Arabidopsis thaliana: one gene and its partners. The protein of the gene in region 1 interacts with the protein of each later gene in a pairwise test. Each region holds a gene or a part of one and is shown in the gene's direction. Other genes may lie near its edges.

The links.
Region 2: the proteins of URO (region 1) and AT1G33760 interact in a two-hybrid assay, tested with the Arabidopsis thaliana proteins (one large-scale study listed by BioGRID).
Region 3: the proteins of URO (region 1) and MYB112 interact in a two-hybrid assay, tested with the Arabidopsis thaliana proteins (one large-scale study listed by BioGRID).
Region 4: the proteins of URO (region 1) and ABR1 interact in a two-hybrid assay, tested with the Arabidopsis thaliana proteins (one large-scale study listed by BioGRID).

The regions. Positions count from the first base shown.
Region 1 is NC_003074.8:8,248,786-8,252,028, forward strand, and holds URO (C2H2 and C2HC zinc fingers superfamily protein), read left to right. Parts: upstream 1-1,733; 5' UTR 1,734-1,793; coding exon 1,794-2,312; 3' UTR 2,313-2,698; downstream 2,699-3,243.
Region 2 is NC_003070.9:12,235,808-12,239,275, forward strand, and holds AT1G33760 (Integrase-type DNA-binding superfamily protein), read left to right. Parts: upstream 1-1,739; 5' UTR 1,740-2,136; coding exon 2,137-2,691; 3' UTR 2,692-2,903; downstream 2,904-3,468. Other genes in the region: AT1G33750 (Terpenoid cyclases/Protein prenyltransferases superfamily protein), read left to right, coding at 1-541.
Region 3 is NC_003070.9:17,703,632-17,708,227, reverse strand, and holds MYB112 (myb domain protein 112), read left to right. Parts: upstream 1-1,767; 5' UTR 1,768-1,850; coding exon 1,851-2,043; intron 2,044-2,881; coding exon 2,882-3,011; intron 3,012-3,550; coding exon 3,551-3,959; 3' UTR 3,960-4,096; downstream 4,097-4,596.
Region 4 is NC_003076.8:25,889,491-25,894,404, forward strand, and holds ABR1 (Integrase-type DNA-binding superfamily protein), read left to right. Parts: upstream 1-1,958; 5' UTR 1,959-2,188; coding exon 2,189-2,627; intron 2,628-3,429; coding exon 3,430-4,166; 3' UTR 4,167-4,398; downstream 4,399-4,914. Other genes in the region: RPN5B (regulatory particle non-ATPase subunit 5B), read right to left, coding at 4,537-4,755, 4,833-4,910.

The DNA.
Region 1 (3,243 bases):
ACTTTTAACTAATGCAAATATTTATAATAAATGATGTAAAACAACCTTTTTTTTGTAGTGTCTCCAACACTACATAGAGCATTTCTATATATGCATACACTATTCTTTCAGTTTATTACTATTAATGTTGTATATCACCCGCAAGTCCAAACACACATATAAATATTGAAACTGTTGGTGGATATTTTTTCCGTATGATTCTTTTATCAAGCTTAATTATATAGACCTTACCTTGACCGAGTTTGTTTCTTATCCACATGCCAATTTAGAATATTTGTTCGTGCGGGTTTTATGAAACAAATGTTATTGATGAAAGAAATAAATGTAGCTTTAGGAGGCTAAAGTCTACGATGAGCTGTAGTCCCAAAGTTCTTTTTCGTCTGTTATAAATTCACTAGTGAATATTCTTAAGTCAGTAGGATTCTCACATGTTCTCGAAATCCTATAAAACATTAATGCTCCTGATCAGCTTATAGAAAACGAATGACAATAGTTCTTTATCTAAATCCATAAAACATAATGGTATACTTGTTTTACTATATATTATCTGCATGATCTCACTAAAAAGAGACTACGCCAAAAGGAAGTCAGCCTACATAATAACAAATCTATTCAACTTCCATAATATCATTTTTCTTGAGGCTATAATTATTTTCCATTGCATATATAGAGAGTTTTGATCCATCGTGATTCGTTAAACGTTCTATTATATCCTAAAAAACGATATGGCAATAGCTAAAACCGAACTTATAAAACGCGGTTTCAATCGGTCCATAGAAGTTAAAGGGTACCGGTGTGAACGAAGTAAGTTTATGGAGGTGAATATTATTTTGTCGGTTCTGAAATTGAATACAGTAAAATATTAATTTTAGCAATCCTAAGAGTAGCAGGCGATCGCTCATCGATCGTATTTTTTTCTAAGTTTTATTTTGTTTTTGTTAAAGCATATTTTTCTAAGTATAGAAACCATCGAAATCAATTTCAGTTTTGGGGAGAACTCATAATAAATTTCATAAATGCTATTTAATTAATGAGAGCAATTTGTATATTCTTAATTGTTTTACCTACTTTAAGCACAACCACAAGTCCACAACTCCTTAGTGAATGCTTCTTTTAAAAAATTTGGTTTTATTATTTTGTAGGTATTACATGTTCACATTCAAAATATATTTCACACTATATTAGATTAAATTTAACTAAGCTTTAATATTTCACTAGCTCCTACTAGCCTTCCAATTTTTACAATTTTACTTTGCAATTTTTACTCTCGATCCAAACAAATAAGTACTTTTTTGTACTATATTCAAAGATGAACAACTTTATATTTTTCTTGAACAAAAATGAAATTGAATAGAGAGAAACTAGCTACCCTAACTAGTCACTCGAAACCTTATAAATAACACCTTCTGTAGTTTGTTTTCCTATGAAGAATATTTTTCAACTTTATCTATTATATTATCCTTTGTTAAACTTTCCCTGAAAATTGTTAGAAAATAAACTAATTAAAATAATTCTAAGCATGACGTTTTTGTAGTTATTAATTCATGTTACATTAGACGCACGAATTTAATTATAATACACACCCCCGTAATTAAGTACATTAAAGACCCTAAAGTATATATATTAACCATTGATAAAACAATTTAGCCCTAATTAGTGTCCGTTCACACACATAATCTTTCCTTTAGCTTATATATACGCTGGTGTGTGTTTTTAAGAAGCTTCATACACTCATTTTCAAAACATTGAATACTGAGACTTGAGAGAGATCCCAACAGAAGAAGAAGAGAGAGATGAACCACCGGGACAAACAAATTGATTCCGGCTCTGGCTCTGGAGAAAACCGCCGGACTTATGACTGCGACATCTGCAAGAGAGGTTTCACGAATCCTCAAGCCCTCGGTGGTCACAATAACATCCACCGCAGGGAACGCGAAAGATACCCCTCCTCCTCTTCTTCTTCTCACTCATTTCCATTTTCTCTTCCGTTACCATCTCAGTCTCCCTCCTCCTCCACAAACTTCACAAACCCTCCTCCTTATTTTCCGACCATTGAGTCATACCTACACCAAGGGTCTCAGCCACCTATTAACCCTAGCCACAACACACAATACTTTGGATCATCATCATCATCAAGAGGAGGAGGGAGATTTGCTCAAGGGGCGTCTCATGATCTTAATTTGAGCTTAGGGCTCGGATCCATGAATGAAGATGATGACACTCACCGGAGCCCACCAGAGACCGGAGGTTCTCAACCTCAAGATGGTGATCTTGATCTTGATCTTCGACTCGGCGGTCATCGTCATCATTAAGCTTGCAGCGGTTTCCCTCACGTTCGATCCACGTAACCATATACAATATATATATATAGTTGAAAGTTAATCACCGTATAGTGCATGATGTTTATTGTGGTGTTTATATATGTTTTCAATATATATGTAGTATGATCAAAATATGTTGGACTTGGAGTCATGTTTTTATCATGATCGTATGAAGTTTGGGTTTGTATAATTCAAGACTATATTTTTCACTTAAAAATTATAGATCAAATAGGTTAATTTGAGTAATGTTTTTGTTATACCTTTTTCAAAAAGAAAAAAAAATGTTCTTGTTGTCTGAAGTTGGGTTTGTATAGTACAGGATTATTGTTCTTTTCCATAACTATATATTAGTGTAGATCTATAGATCAAGTAGTTTTGCGTAATATGTTCTAATAATTAGTTACGTTGTATGAAATTTGGGTTTGTATAATCAAAGACTATCTATCATTCTCTTGTATAATATTTTACATGAATTTACATTTCAAGTGGGTTTGTATGAATTTACATTATAAAGTAAGTTTAAACTTATATTATGAATGAATTCGAACTGCAATGGGATAAACATTATATGCGTTTTAATAATAGGTTGGTGAAGTTTATAATTTACACCATTTGAAAAGCCTTCCAAATTTAGAAACTACATTTTTGCAGACCCATGTGAGCTCATATGAATCAATCATAGCCTTGATGTTGTAAAACAAATTATGATTATAAAAATGTGATAGTATATTACATGCATAAAAAATAAAGGAGAGTAAATGAAAGTCAAATCTGGGTTTTATGAACTGAAAGTTGAAGTTTAGAAGTAGAAGTAGCGATCAAAGTATGACCAGTTAAAAGGCCCAATATCATTTGGAGGTTTGATTTTTGGGTTCGTAAATTTCAAGAGCCAGATTATGATTTGCTGGGCTTAAAAATCATG
Region 2 (3,468 bases), on another chromosome or scaffold:
TAAGATCATGGGGAGAGCGTACGCTGAAATATCAAAATGGGCACGAGCAGGTCACGTTCCAACCTTTGATGACTATATTGAGCTTGGGCTTGACTCGTCAGGGATTAGATGCTTTGCAATGTACAGCTTTATATCGATGGAAGATTGTGAGGAGAATCAAACGAACGCGTGGTTCAAATCCAAACCCAAAATGTTACGAGCTTTAAGTGTTATATTTCGTCTTACAAACGACATAGCCGGCTTCGAGGAGGAGATGAGGAGAGGAGAAGTGGTTAATGGGGTGAACTGTTACGTTAAGCAACATAATGTTACCAAGGAATTGGCGGTTCGAGAAATTAAGAAGATGATTAGAGATAATTACAAGATAATGATGGAAGAGTTCTTGACGATAAAAAGTGTGTCACGTCCGATTCTGGTCCGGTGCTTCAACATTGTACGATTGGTCAATCTGTATTACGAGGAGGGTGATAATTTCACCAATCCCAATGGCAAGCTCAAAGATCTCATCACATCTTTGTTCTTCCATCCTCTTCCGCTTTGAAGACTTGGCTCCTTGCCGAAAAATTCATCTACATTTCTCTTTCCATTATTATTGATGATTGTTAATTTGCTCTATGCACATATTTTTCCATTAAATTTTAATTCCTGGGGTTTCAATTAGTTTTTACTATTTTAATTTATTTTGCATAGAAGTTTTTTTTATAACTTTCACTACCCACAACGACAAGGAAAGTTGACCAAAAGAATGAAATAATATCATAATTCATGTTTATATACGTTATACTATTCAATTCTTAATTCATGTTTATATACGTTAAACTATTCAATTCTTAATTATGTTTCTTTGCAAATAATATTAAATTACACACATGAGTTCTTGAACCAAGGAACGTATAAGTTCAAAAAATAGACTGGAAAGCAAAACTTTGTTATACTTGTTGAGTTCTTATGTAGGATCCAAATCTTGTAGATAAGCAACAATATATAATGGGCGGTGAGATTAAGACTGAAAGTATTTTTTTGACCACCGGATGGACCGTACGGATTTCCACAATTCGATACGGTGTGGTTGTTAGTGCCTTAGTGGCGGTGGTGACCATTATGCAGCCATTTAACTATTTAGGGTTGGAATTTGGCTCATGAGGTTTTACTACACATCAAGAAATTATTTGGAGACAGAGCATCGATCTTCTGCTGGTCGGGTTTTAGAATTTCATAAAATCAAATTTTGGTTAATTTAGATGGGTTTCTTTCCCCAATTCTTCGTTATGAACAATTCATTATTTTGGTCAACTTAATTGTCTATGACTCTATGGGCAGTTACATAATGTTACTATCATATTTGCTGTCAAGACTCTTGAGATATGGCATATATGGACTTTTGTACGAGAACCTAAAGTTCTAACCAACACATGATATAAAGGACTAATTGCTTTTCTTTTCATTTGGTCTTACAACAACAAAACACAATATACTACTTTGACTTAAAATAATTGATCTTTTATATGAAACACTAATTTATCTCAGTATGAACTATGAAATCTATTTCCTAGTTGAAAAGTTTAAATATTTTGAACTTTTTGATCAAGTTAAATATCTATAATCTAACTAAGGCCCAGAATATACCAAATATGAAATATATTTATCAAGGCCATGTCAATTTTCTTGGAAGGCATGTACAAAGTTTTTACTGAAAACATATTTGATGTGTAAAAAAATATTTCTAAAAAAATTTAGAACCCAAATCATATAAATATCAAACTTGTCTTCAATCAAAAAAATAATATTCAATCAGCGTTTTCTTTCAAATACACACAACACACTATTTGTACACGCTTAAAGACAGCTTTGCTAATGTACAATATCCATGTAAGTAATAGAGACCCATGCATGCATGACAGCATATTTCCACTTCACAAGTAACTACGTAGGAAGCTCACTTCACCTGAAACCAAACAAGCCATCCACAAATTCTATTCCCTCATTTATTGTCTTCTTTATTTCTCTATATATACAATTTCACTTAACCACTGACTCTATAACTCAAAACTTCTAAACTAATTCGCACAGTTCTATATACACTCACAAACACACACACACACAATATAGTGCTACTAAAATAACCTTGTATTAATTATGGAAAACACTTACGTTGGCCAACGAGATTACCGCTTCAACGTTAACCAGTTGTCCTACAGAGGCATTCGTCGGAGGAAATGGGGCAAATGGGTATCGGAGATCCGAGAACCCGGTAAGAAAACAAGGATTTGGCTTGGAAGCTACGAGACGGCCGAGATGGCTGCAGCGGCCTACGATGCTGCGGCTCTTCACCTCCGAGGACGTGGGACCAATCTCAACTTTCCGGAACTCGTCGACAGTTTTCCTCGGCCGGAAAGCTCTAGTTCGGAGCACATTCAAGCGGCTGCACAAGATGCAGCACTTATGTTTAAACCAGGTAGGTTGAGTGAACCAGCTCTCGAGTCTGGTCAAGGACTTTCTCGAGTAGGATTGTCTCCGGATCAGATTCAAGCGATTAATGAGTCTCCATTAGACTCGCCGAGGATGGGGTGGATGCAGGATTTGGAAGTTGCTGACTACGAAGAATTATACGGACAATTTTTTGGTCAGCACGATAGGGATGAGTTTTTTGAAATGCAGCAATTTCAGTCCATATGGAATTCTAATAATTGATATACGTTCGCTTAATTGCTTAACCATTTGATTTTTTTTTTAATAATGTCATATCATCAACCAAGGTTTTTCGATTATATTCAGTAAAGTATAATAAATTTTCGACCCTTACTGTTTTTCTTGGGTTCAATTTGTAATCTCTTAACAATGATGATGTCATAAATACCAATATGATTAATTCAAATTTTCAATATATATGTAATGTTTTGGTTCCTTGTCAGTCAGATAGTATCATATGGTTTATACGAGAAATAAATATAAACCAAGGAAAAAACTCAATCCAAGAAAAAAAAATGTTATCTTATAAAAACTTAGAAAAAAGGGTGGTTACCTTGTGCTTCGTCTTCGGTTTTCGTTGTGGTATTCGTTAAATTGGAATAAGACTAACTCCGAAAAATAGGTAAGATTATAGACCAAAAACCTGAAACTCCTATGGTTTATTAAAAACAAAATTATTTGATGAAAGTCCATTATGTAGACACATATAACCCATAATATATACACACGAGCTGACGTGCACGTACCAATTCGTACTATGGCCGCCTCAAAAGTACAGGTTTATTCCATATTATAGTGAGCATGAGTCCGTTGAAAAGCTTTGATTACCTAAAGATATACTATAATCAGTATCAATAACAACTGTTGCAGTCAATATTATATTAGTATGAAATGTTTTAATTGTCCCATACGTTCAGTTTTCTGTTAGGCCTAATTGCGTGAAATTATAAATTAAAGTTTTAATTAGATCATAATGTAAAAGCATGAATTTGACTCTTT
Region 3 (4,596 bases), on another chromosome or scaffold:
CATTTTTATATTGTTACATTCTCTTGAGTCTTTTTTTTGTTTTGTAATCCTTTTCTATTTCTAATTAAAAAAACTAAAATTTATAGCTAAAACCATTAAAAAAAAGTAACCAAGAGTTCCGAAACTAAAGAAAACCCAAAAAAGTTAGTAACTTCAAAAAATTTAACTAGTTTCTTTCATCAATCTGTATTTATATATGTTCTAACTTTTTTTATCAAAACCAAACCGAATCTAAACCGTAAGTCAAAATAAATTAAACCAAAATTGCATCAAATTGAAATCATGACTAAAAATTACTCCTTTTGTCCCTTTTTATTGATTTTCTAGAAACAATCACAGATTAAGTAAACATATTGATTTAATTTTTGTGATTTAATTTTTTAATAATTCTAAACTAATGATATTCAATTATTTGTCTTGAAGTTTAAAATTCATCAATAATAACTAATAAATAGTGCATAGAAACCTAAAAAATCAATCTTTTTGAAACAATTTTGTTTCTCTAAAAATCAATTAATAAAGAATAGGGGGAGTATTATTTTTGAAGTATACTTTAAAAAACACCTTTATTTTGATAAATATTAACAGAGAATGTCATTACTTATATTCATGTATTCAAATAACTTTACTATTAATTTTTATTATCCGTATAACCAAATCAATTGATTGTTTTTAACATTAACTATAAAATTTGAAATATACATATAATGTTCCAAAATTAGTAATACATATTAAAAGATTGTGTTAAGAATTAAAATAATGATTCGCAATCATCTTTGTTTGATTTTGTTTTCTATTTGTTTTGAATCATCATATAAAGTTAATAATAAACTATTTTCTACCTATATTCTGATTCAAAATTTTAGAATTAGACATATATATTACTTAAATAATAAAAAAGTGTGTTCAACGTCTCAATTTCACATGGGCTAAAATGTTTAGAAAATGATTAAGAGTCATGTTATAAATAAATCTAAATCTAAATAAACAAGAAGTTTAACTTAACAAGTATCTAAATTTAAAAGTTTGTATATGGTTTAATTCTGTTTTTAATTGAACTGTTTAATTTTACTGGATATAGTAAATTTTAAGCTTTGAAAGTTTTGAAATATTATAATTGATATATTTAAACTCAGTATAAAGTTTAAAATAAAATGAATATATATAAAAGTCTAAAATAACGCAGTACATGTTATATTTTGAGACTGGGTATATGAAAAATGAGTTTAAATCGACATTAAAAAAATTAAAAGTATCATTAACCGACATTATAATACGGTGAAATTCTCATTTTATTATTTGATTAACATCACTAATATTAAATATGTAGAATTACACTAATTTAGTTAAGATTATGTGAAAACAAAATTGTCCCGTGTTATATTGAGGGTTAAATTCTAGTTTGGTTTAATAAAAGGAAACCTGAATCAAAACTAAACAAAATTATATACTACAGAAAAAAGGGTTTGTTGCATCAACTAAATTATATCGATAAATAAATGATGTTAATTTAAATTACTTCTTCGGTTACTTTTACTTACTTGATAGCTTATCCAACTCTTAACTATAGCATGTGCTTAAGGAGAAACTAAGAACTCTTATACTATTACTTAGAAATTATTATTTTGCGAAAATTCCACTAATATCTTCGGGTAATAATTTATCTATTAACATGCCGATTTCAAATGCTTGGTATTTATTTATAATATATACAAAACAAAACAAAAAAAAATCTATAAAACCCACCCTGAAAACTCGATCACTTTATGTCCATTCCGAGAACTCTCTCCCTCATTAATTAAAATCTTTCTCAGAGCAATCTTCTCACAAGTTTCTAAGAATCTCAAAGCATGAATATAAGTAGAACAGAATTCGCAAACTGTAAAACCCTTATAAATCATAAAGAAGAAGTCGAAGAAGTCGAGAAAAAGATGGAAATAGAAATAAGGAGAGGTCCATGGACTGTGGAAGAAGACATGAAGCTCGTCAGTTACATTTCTCTTCACGGTGAAGGAAGATGGAACTCCCTCTCTCGTTCTGCTGGTAACTTCTTAAGCCTTTTGCATATATATATACAGAATATGTGATCATGCATGATATATAATATGTAATGCGTAAATCGATCGATTCAGATCAATTGAAGTCATCATAACAAATCCTTATATGCCCATATCATATCTCTAGAGTGATTGTTAAACTATCATTGATTTGAATGGTTAAAGTTTGGTATTGAAGGATTCTTTATATGTCAAACAAGTAGTCCGTTTTTGTTTTTTAAACATTTAGACTGAAACTTTTTTTTTTCTTATTAGAAATTCGTTTTGGATTTTGTGGATTTTAATATGATCATGTGAAGTTTAGTTTAGAGTTTATTTATAACTAACTGAAATTAAATGGAGTAGATATAAAAACTCGTCCACATCTTATCAATATGTTATTCAATTTCTATCACATCATATGTGAGTGATATACATATATGAATGTGATTTTTCGTAACTATGAGAATACTTTTCTTATGGCTGTGACTTCTCCATGTCGGCATAATTTAAATTCCTCTGTAGAATTGGTAAAGTAAGAAAGAACAAGTTGACATATTCATAGTTCATTATTATCATTAAAAGTGTACTTTCGTATGAAACAGTTTGGTCGGTCCAAATTTATTTATTTTTTCCTTTGGAGTTCTTTTCATATTAGCCTTTTGAGTGTGGAACTCAAACACCTTTCCCAACCATCCAATTCCATACAGCCTCATGGAATTGTTATCTTTATTGATTTGGGAAATTGTACTAGTGTCCATATACTATTGACTAGTGTACATTCCAGTTAATTCATGTTTTTATACTAATTGTATTTATATTGAAATCATTTACTATTGAGACAGGACTGAATAGAACGGGGAAAAGTTGCAGATTGCGGTGGCTAAATTATCTCCGGCCGGATATCCGCCGTGGAGACATATCCCTTCAAGAACAATTTATCATCCTTGAACTCCATTCTCGTTGGGGAAATCGGTATGAAACCTTTATTTATATCGACATAGACATAGTCATATTGTCGATACATTACTTAAAATAGAAAAAGGGACACATATCGTTGAAGAGAGCAAATTTGGAACGTCTCTATGAAATAAATAACTCGTTATTCAATATTGTATTAGTAGATAATTGACAAAATCAATTTGATGCGTATTTGAAATTTCTTGGTTGAATTGTGGTTACTATATGAAACTTGTATCATAGTTGAAATTAAGGTACACATCAACGTCTTTTTTTATCAGAGTAACACTAAAAAAACTGATTAATCTAGTACTACAATAGAACTTATAAATAATTAAACCCTCCGATTCATTATAAATAATATTTTTAGCAAGAGTCGGTTTTAACAAAAACAATTAATATACGTACAAAAAGTATATTAGAAATTTAATATATTTTTTGTATGTATAAATGATTCTAATAAAAAACGGAATGAGAGTTTAATTACGATGTTCTATAAAATTAATCGTGTTTTTAATAATGGAGTTAGTTTTGATATTTTTTCTATTGTGAAGGTGGTCAAAGATTGCTCAACATTTACCGGGAAGAACAGATAACGAGATAAAGAATTATTGGAGAACACGTGTTCAAAAGCATGCAAAACTTCTAAAATGTGACGTGAACAGCAAGCAATTCAAAGACACCATCAAACATCTCTGGATGCCTCGTCTCATCGAGAGAATCGCCGCCACTCAAAGTGTCCAATTTACCTCTAACCACTACTCGCCTGAGAACTCCAGCGTCGCCACCGCCACGTCATCAACGTCGTCGTCTGAGGCTGTGAGATCGAGTTTCTACGGTGGTGATCAGGTGGAATTTGGAACGTTGGATCATATGACAAATGGTGGTTATTGGTTCAACGGCGGAGATACGTTTGAAACTTTGTGTAGTTTTGACGAGCTCAACAAGTGGCTCATACAGTAGGCATTTCATGGGTTTATTAATGAATGTAATGTATAATAAACATAAACTAATCATTCAAAACAAAATTAAAGGTTTTCCGGGTTTTTTTCCATTTTTTTATTGGTTTAATTTTATTGTGATGTATGATTTTACAAAACAAAAAAAAAACTGCTTAATTAATAATATCAAAAACATATATATTGTTACACAGAAGCATGATTTAGATAAGACTATAAGAGCAAAGAAGAGAAAAACAACAACATGAGTTTAGCAAAAAGTTTATGTGGTTCCTGGTTCATTTAATAACTCCCATACGATCACTTATAATCTACCATATATGATCATCAATTAAGTTTTATAATATCACCGCATTATTAAAAACATTATGAGTATTTGATAACATATCCCAAAGAAATTCATTACATACTTATTTAACTAATGGGTTGAAATAGAGATTGATGCATGATGTGTATATGAAGTGAACATCAAATAATTATTTTACTCTAAATAAATTATTAATTTGGATTTGGCCCTCTCATCTAAACTCAGAGTTGAAGTGTTCATGAAATCTTGCATGCTCGAGACAATGAGACATATTGCTTAGAGCACTTAAAGATGGTATCAACTCTTAAAAATATGCAAGTAAAATTTCGTCGTC
Region 4 (4,914 bases), on another chromosome or scaffold:
GGACAAGTTGATGAAAAAGACATTATCGTACGCCTTAACTTAAATTAAACTGATCACGCCTCGTTCTCCGGTTTTGCCATGTTAAACAAGTTTAATATTTACAAGTTGGATGCATATTCGTATAATAATACGTAACTAATCCGAATTGAATGCTTAATTGACGCGTTGATGCGAACTTAAATAGGGATTAGGTTAGGCGATAGGCACACACAAGCATGGTGAAAACATAAATTTATTTAATAATCACTATGTTTCCGTATTTGGATTGATCTTTGAAGACTCGATCTCTAAATTTGTTTTATTTTACTACTAATTTTTATTTGATAGACATATTTAGGTATTTTTATCGCCTAAGTGATTAAAAGCTACTGTATGTTTTAGTGGAATATAATTAAACTGGATTAGTATAAAACAGGGCATCTTAGTTTCTAAAAAGGGAAATGACCGGTGAAAAGGTTTATCCAGTTTTTTTTTTTTTTTTGTCGTGGTTTATCCAGATTAATTATACTGTCGTACAATATTTTTGTTCAGCTTCTTTAAGAAAATAAACTGTCGCACTGACTAATTAATTAGTTAATAGAGACTTGAGCATCAGCCTAAGAAAAATGTCACATCAATAACAATCGTTTTTTTTTCTCCCATCTTTGCAAATTATGTATTATTAGCTTCGTTAAATCTGCGACTTTTTAACAATACGAAAATGTCTCGTGTATAACAGGTAAAAATAACAACTACGTCAACTTGTGAGCACAATTGCTTAGATTGGTTAAAAACAAAAGTCCAACGATGCGTTTCGAGATTATCCTCAAGTTAACTCTCAACCAAAAAATAATAGAAAATCCAAAAGATATCAATATAATAATTATTCTGCGTTCAGACTAGAATCTACGAGTACATATCTGCAAGTTCTGAAATCTGAACCATCCTGAGCTTAATTGCAAATATGGACAACAATATGTTTTTCTTAACCAAAAAGTTTTTGTGCAGCCTCTATTAGACTCGATTCGGGCGAATAAGAAAACAACTCTTATAGTTAAAAGAAAAACACATCACAAATCCTAAAATCATATTTTCTTCTGAACAATGCGTTTCTATTTTTTTTCTATTTTCTTCTGAACAATGCGTTTCTATTATTTTCTTCTGAAAAATCGAAAACGAAGAAAATAATACAAGGTGTGGGTCAAACGGTCAAAGATAAGAGACGAAGGTTGAAACAAGTGGGCCGTAGGGTGAGGCCCAAACGGTCACGAGCATTAGCCTTACCATCACCGACACCGTCCACAAACGGAGCATCTGACGTCGACCAGAACCGACACGTGCAACACACGCGCATTCGTACGGAACGGCTCGTCTCTCAACTTGACCTTCAAGCTCACCGTTTAGACAAAATGCAAAAATAATCTTATTTTATAAATATTCCATTTAATGGTTTTACCTCTTTTTCAGCACCGAACCGTAAATATAGTAATTAATAATCGTTTCTGAATGCCTCCATATTTTAACAGTGTTTATAACTTCTTAAAGTTTTTACTATGCAAGTTGTCTTATGACACAGAGCTAATATACATAATTAATTCATTACCTTATTTATTTAATTTACTAGACTTGTTAAAGTATTCTTCAGAACTGTTCATAGAGTATAGGTCGCATATAGTATATTTACAAAAATATATAATTACTCACAAGTTGCGAAAAGATTCAGATACGTTTCATATAATAGGACCCAATTTTTTACAAAATTTGTTCAAATTGAGTTAAATCATCAAAACCAAATTTTCTTCTGTTATAGATCAAATTTATAAAAATAGCTATTTGCTATATTATATATATATATATATATATATAAACATTAGTTATTAAAAAAAAAACTGCGTGTTTCCAGTTCACACGGGTACAGAGAGAAGCCGACTCATTTTCATTTGGCGGCGCTGAAACCATACAAAGTAATTAACACAAGAAAATTAAATTTGTATATCTATCAGCTAAACCTCGTCCTTTGTCTTAAAAAACACATCTTCTAAAATCTCTGTCTTTCTTTCTTCCTCTTTGTCTCTGTTTCTTGTTTCTCTCTCTCTCTCTCTACAGAGTTTTCTTTCCCTCGAAGAAAAAGAATATTTTTAAATTTAATTTTCTCTGCGTTTATAAGCTTTAAGTTTCAGAGGAGGAGGATTTAGAAGGAGGGTTTTGTATGTGTGTCTTAAAAGTGGCAAATCAGGAAGATAACGTTGGCAAAAAAGCCGAGTCTATTAGAGACGATGATCATCGGACGTTATCTGAAATCGATCAATGGCTTTACTTATTCGCAGCCGAAGACGACCACCACCGTCATAGCTTCCCTACGCAGCAGCCGCCTCCATCGTCGTCGTCCTCATCTCTTATCTCAGGTTTCAGTAGAGAGATGGAGATGTCTGCTATTGTCTCTGCTTTGACTCACGTTGTTGCTGGAAATGTTCCTCAGCATCAACAAGGAGGCGGTGAAGGTAGCGGAGAAGGGACTTCGAATTCGTCTTCTTCCTCGGGGCAGAAAAGGAGGAGAGAGGTGGAGGAAGGTGGCGCCAAAGCGGTTAAGGCAGCTAATACTTTGACGGTTGATCAATATTTCTCCGGTGGTAGCTCTACTTCTAAAGGTTAGTTTTGTTGGGTTTTTATTTTGTCCTCTATAAACACACGTACCCTGTTTCGGATTTAAACCACATTAGTACACACCATTTTGATAAAATTTTACATATTTCGGTTGTGTATCCACAAAACATAAAACATTTAAATTATAAGATCATTCTATTTGATAAATGTTTTCAATAATTTTATGATGTAGTATATACATCAAGGTATGAGTCACATCAAATGTTTGTAACACAAAATCTAAATACAGTTGCACTTTTGTTGTCCTCACGCAATCTACAAAGCAACATGTCTTATATTTAGTTTTTTTATTCTTTTCTTTTATCGTTTTCTAAAATATGGCGAAGTTAGATATACTTTATAATAATTTAAATATAAAGAAAAATGAGGAATAAAAAATAGTAATTAGCGTAAAGATGTAAATAAATATTTCGAAGTGTTGACAAAAATAAATATAATAACGAAACTGTACTTGATTATCTTAAGACATATACTTTAGAATTGTTGTAAAAAGGTTGGATATTTAATTAAGAAAATGATGATGATGATGATGATATGCCAAAAGAATTTATCTCCCTCCAATTGCATCAAGAGTCGTTTTCCACTTCCTTTTTTTTTCTACTTGTTCATTCCTTTTGTCACCCATTTGCCTCATCACTTTCTCATACTCGCTCTTAAAAAAAAAACTTTATAATATCTTTATTGGAGACATTAATATTATCGATTCTTTTTCTTATGTAAGAAAGTGTTAATTCACGAGTGACAACAAAAGTGTGAAATTTTACATGTTTGTTTGTTTATTTGCAGTGAGAGAAGCTTCGAGTAACATGTCAGGTCCGGGCCCAACATACGAGTATACAACTACGGCAACTGCTAGTAGCGAAACGTCGTCGTTTAGTGGGGACCAACCTCGGCGAAGATACAGAGGAGTTAGACAAAGACCATGGGGAAAGTGGGCGGCTGAGATTCGAGATCCATTTAAAGCAGCTAGAGTTTGGCTCGGTACGTTCGACAATGCTGAATCAGCAGCAAGAGCTTACGACGAAGCTGCACTTCGGTTTAGAGGCAACAAAGCCAAACTCAACTTCCCTGAAAACGTCAAACTCGTTAGACCTGCTTCAACCGAAGCACAACCTGTGCACCAAACCGCTGCTCAAAGACCGACCCAGTCAAGGAACTCGGGTTCAACGACTACCCTTTTGCCCATAAGACCTGCTTCGAATCAAAGCGTTCATTCGCAGCCGTTGATGCAATCATACAACTTGAGTTACTCTGAAATGGCTCGTCAACAACAACAGTTTCAGCAACATCATCAACAATCTTTGGATTTATACGATCAAATGTCGTTTCCGTTGCGTTTCGGTCACACTGGAGGTTCAATGATGCAATCTACGTCGTCATCATCATCTCATTCTCGTCCTCTGTTTTCCCCGGCTGCTGTTCAGCCGCCACCAGAATCAGCTAGCGAAACCGGTTATCTCCAGGATATACAATGGCCATCAGACAAGACTAGTAATAACTACAATAATAGTCCATCCTCCTGATGACTTGCTTCATTTTATTTGTTTCACTATAGAGTAATAGAAAACAGGAAAATGATTATATGTTATAGAGTTATTTTTCCAAATATTATAGGGTTTAGGTTGTTTGTATTGTTCTGCTTTCATCCTCTCATGCTTTTTTTCTTAATTTATTATATTTTTGCATTATAATTTCGTTTCATTGTAACAAACATTAAAAAGACCACATGGAGAAAGGAAAAAAAAGAGAGTTTTGTATATAATCTTGCAAGGTCTCCTAAAGAACACAAAAAAAATGTGTTCGAACCAAGCAGAGAAAGAAAACTCAAATGATTATGTTAGAACGAGAGCCTGAAAGATTCTTTCCACCGATGTGTGTGGCTAGACCGGGTTCTCAAGCTCTTAGTGCAACTTTATGAACCATTGTTTCTTTGTGAATTTGGTGACAACTCTTTTCAACAAGATCCAAAAGCTTCTCCAAGTTTGTTGCCCACGAGTTGAGGATTTCGTTGCTGTCTTTAACAATCTGGAAGCAGATTATTCCTGATGGTCTGTCGATTTTTGCTATCAAGGCTTTGGACACAACCATTTCAGATAGATGCTTCTCTGCTTCCTGAAATATAATGAAACGGTAAGAAGAGATTTAAACATGTACTGGTACACTTAAGAGTATTTTGAAACTATATTTACCTCAGTGGTTAGGCATAAAAGTTCTGCAAGTCTCTTAAAGGTAATCCTTGAGTAGTACTTTGAGACAACGAGAATATTCTGC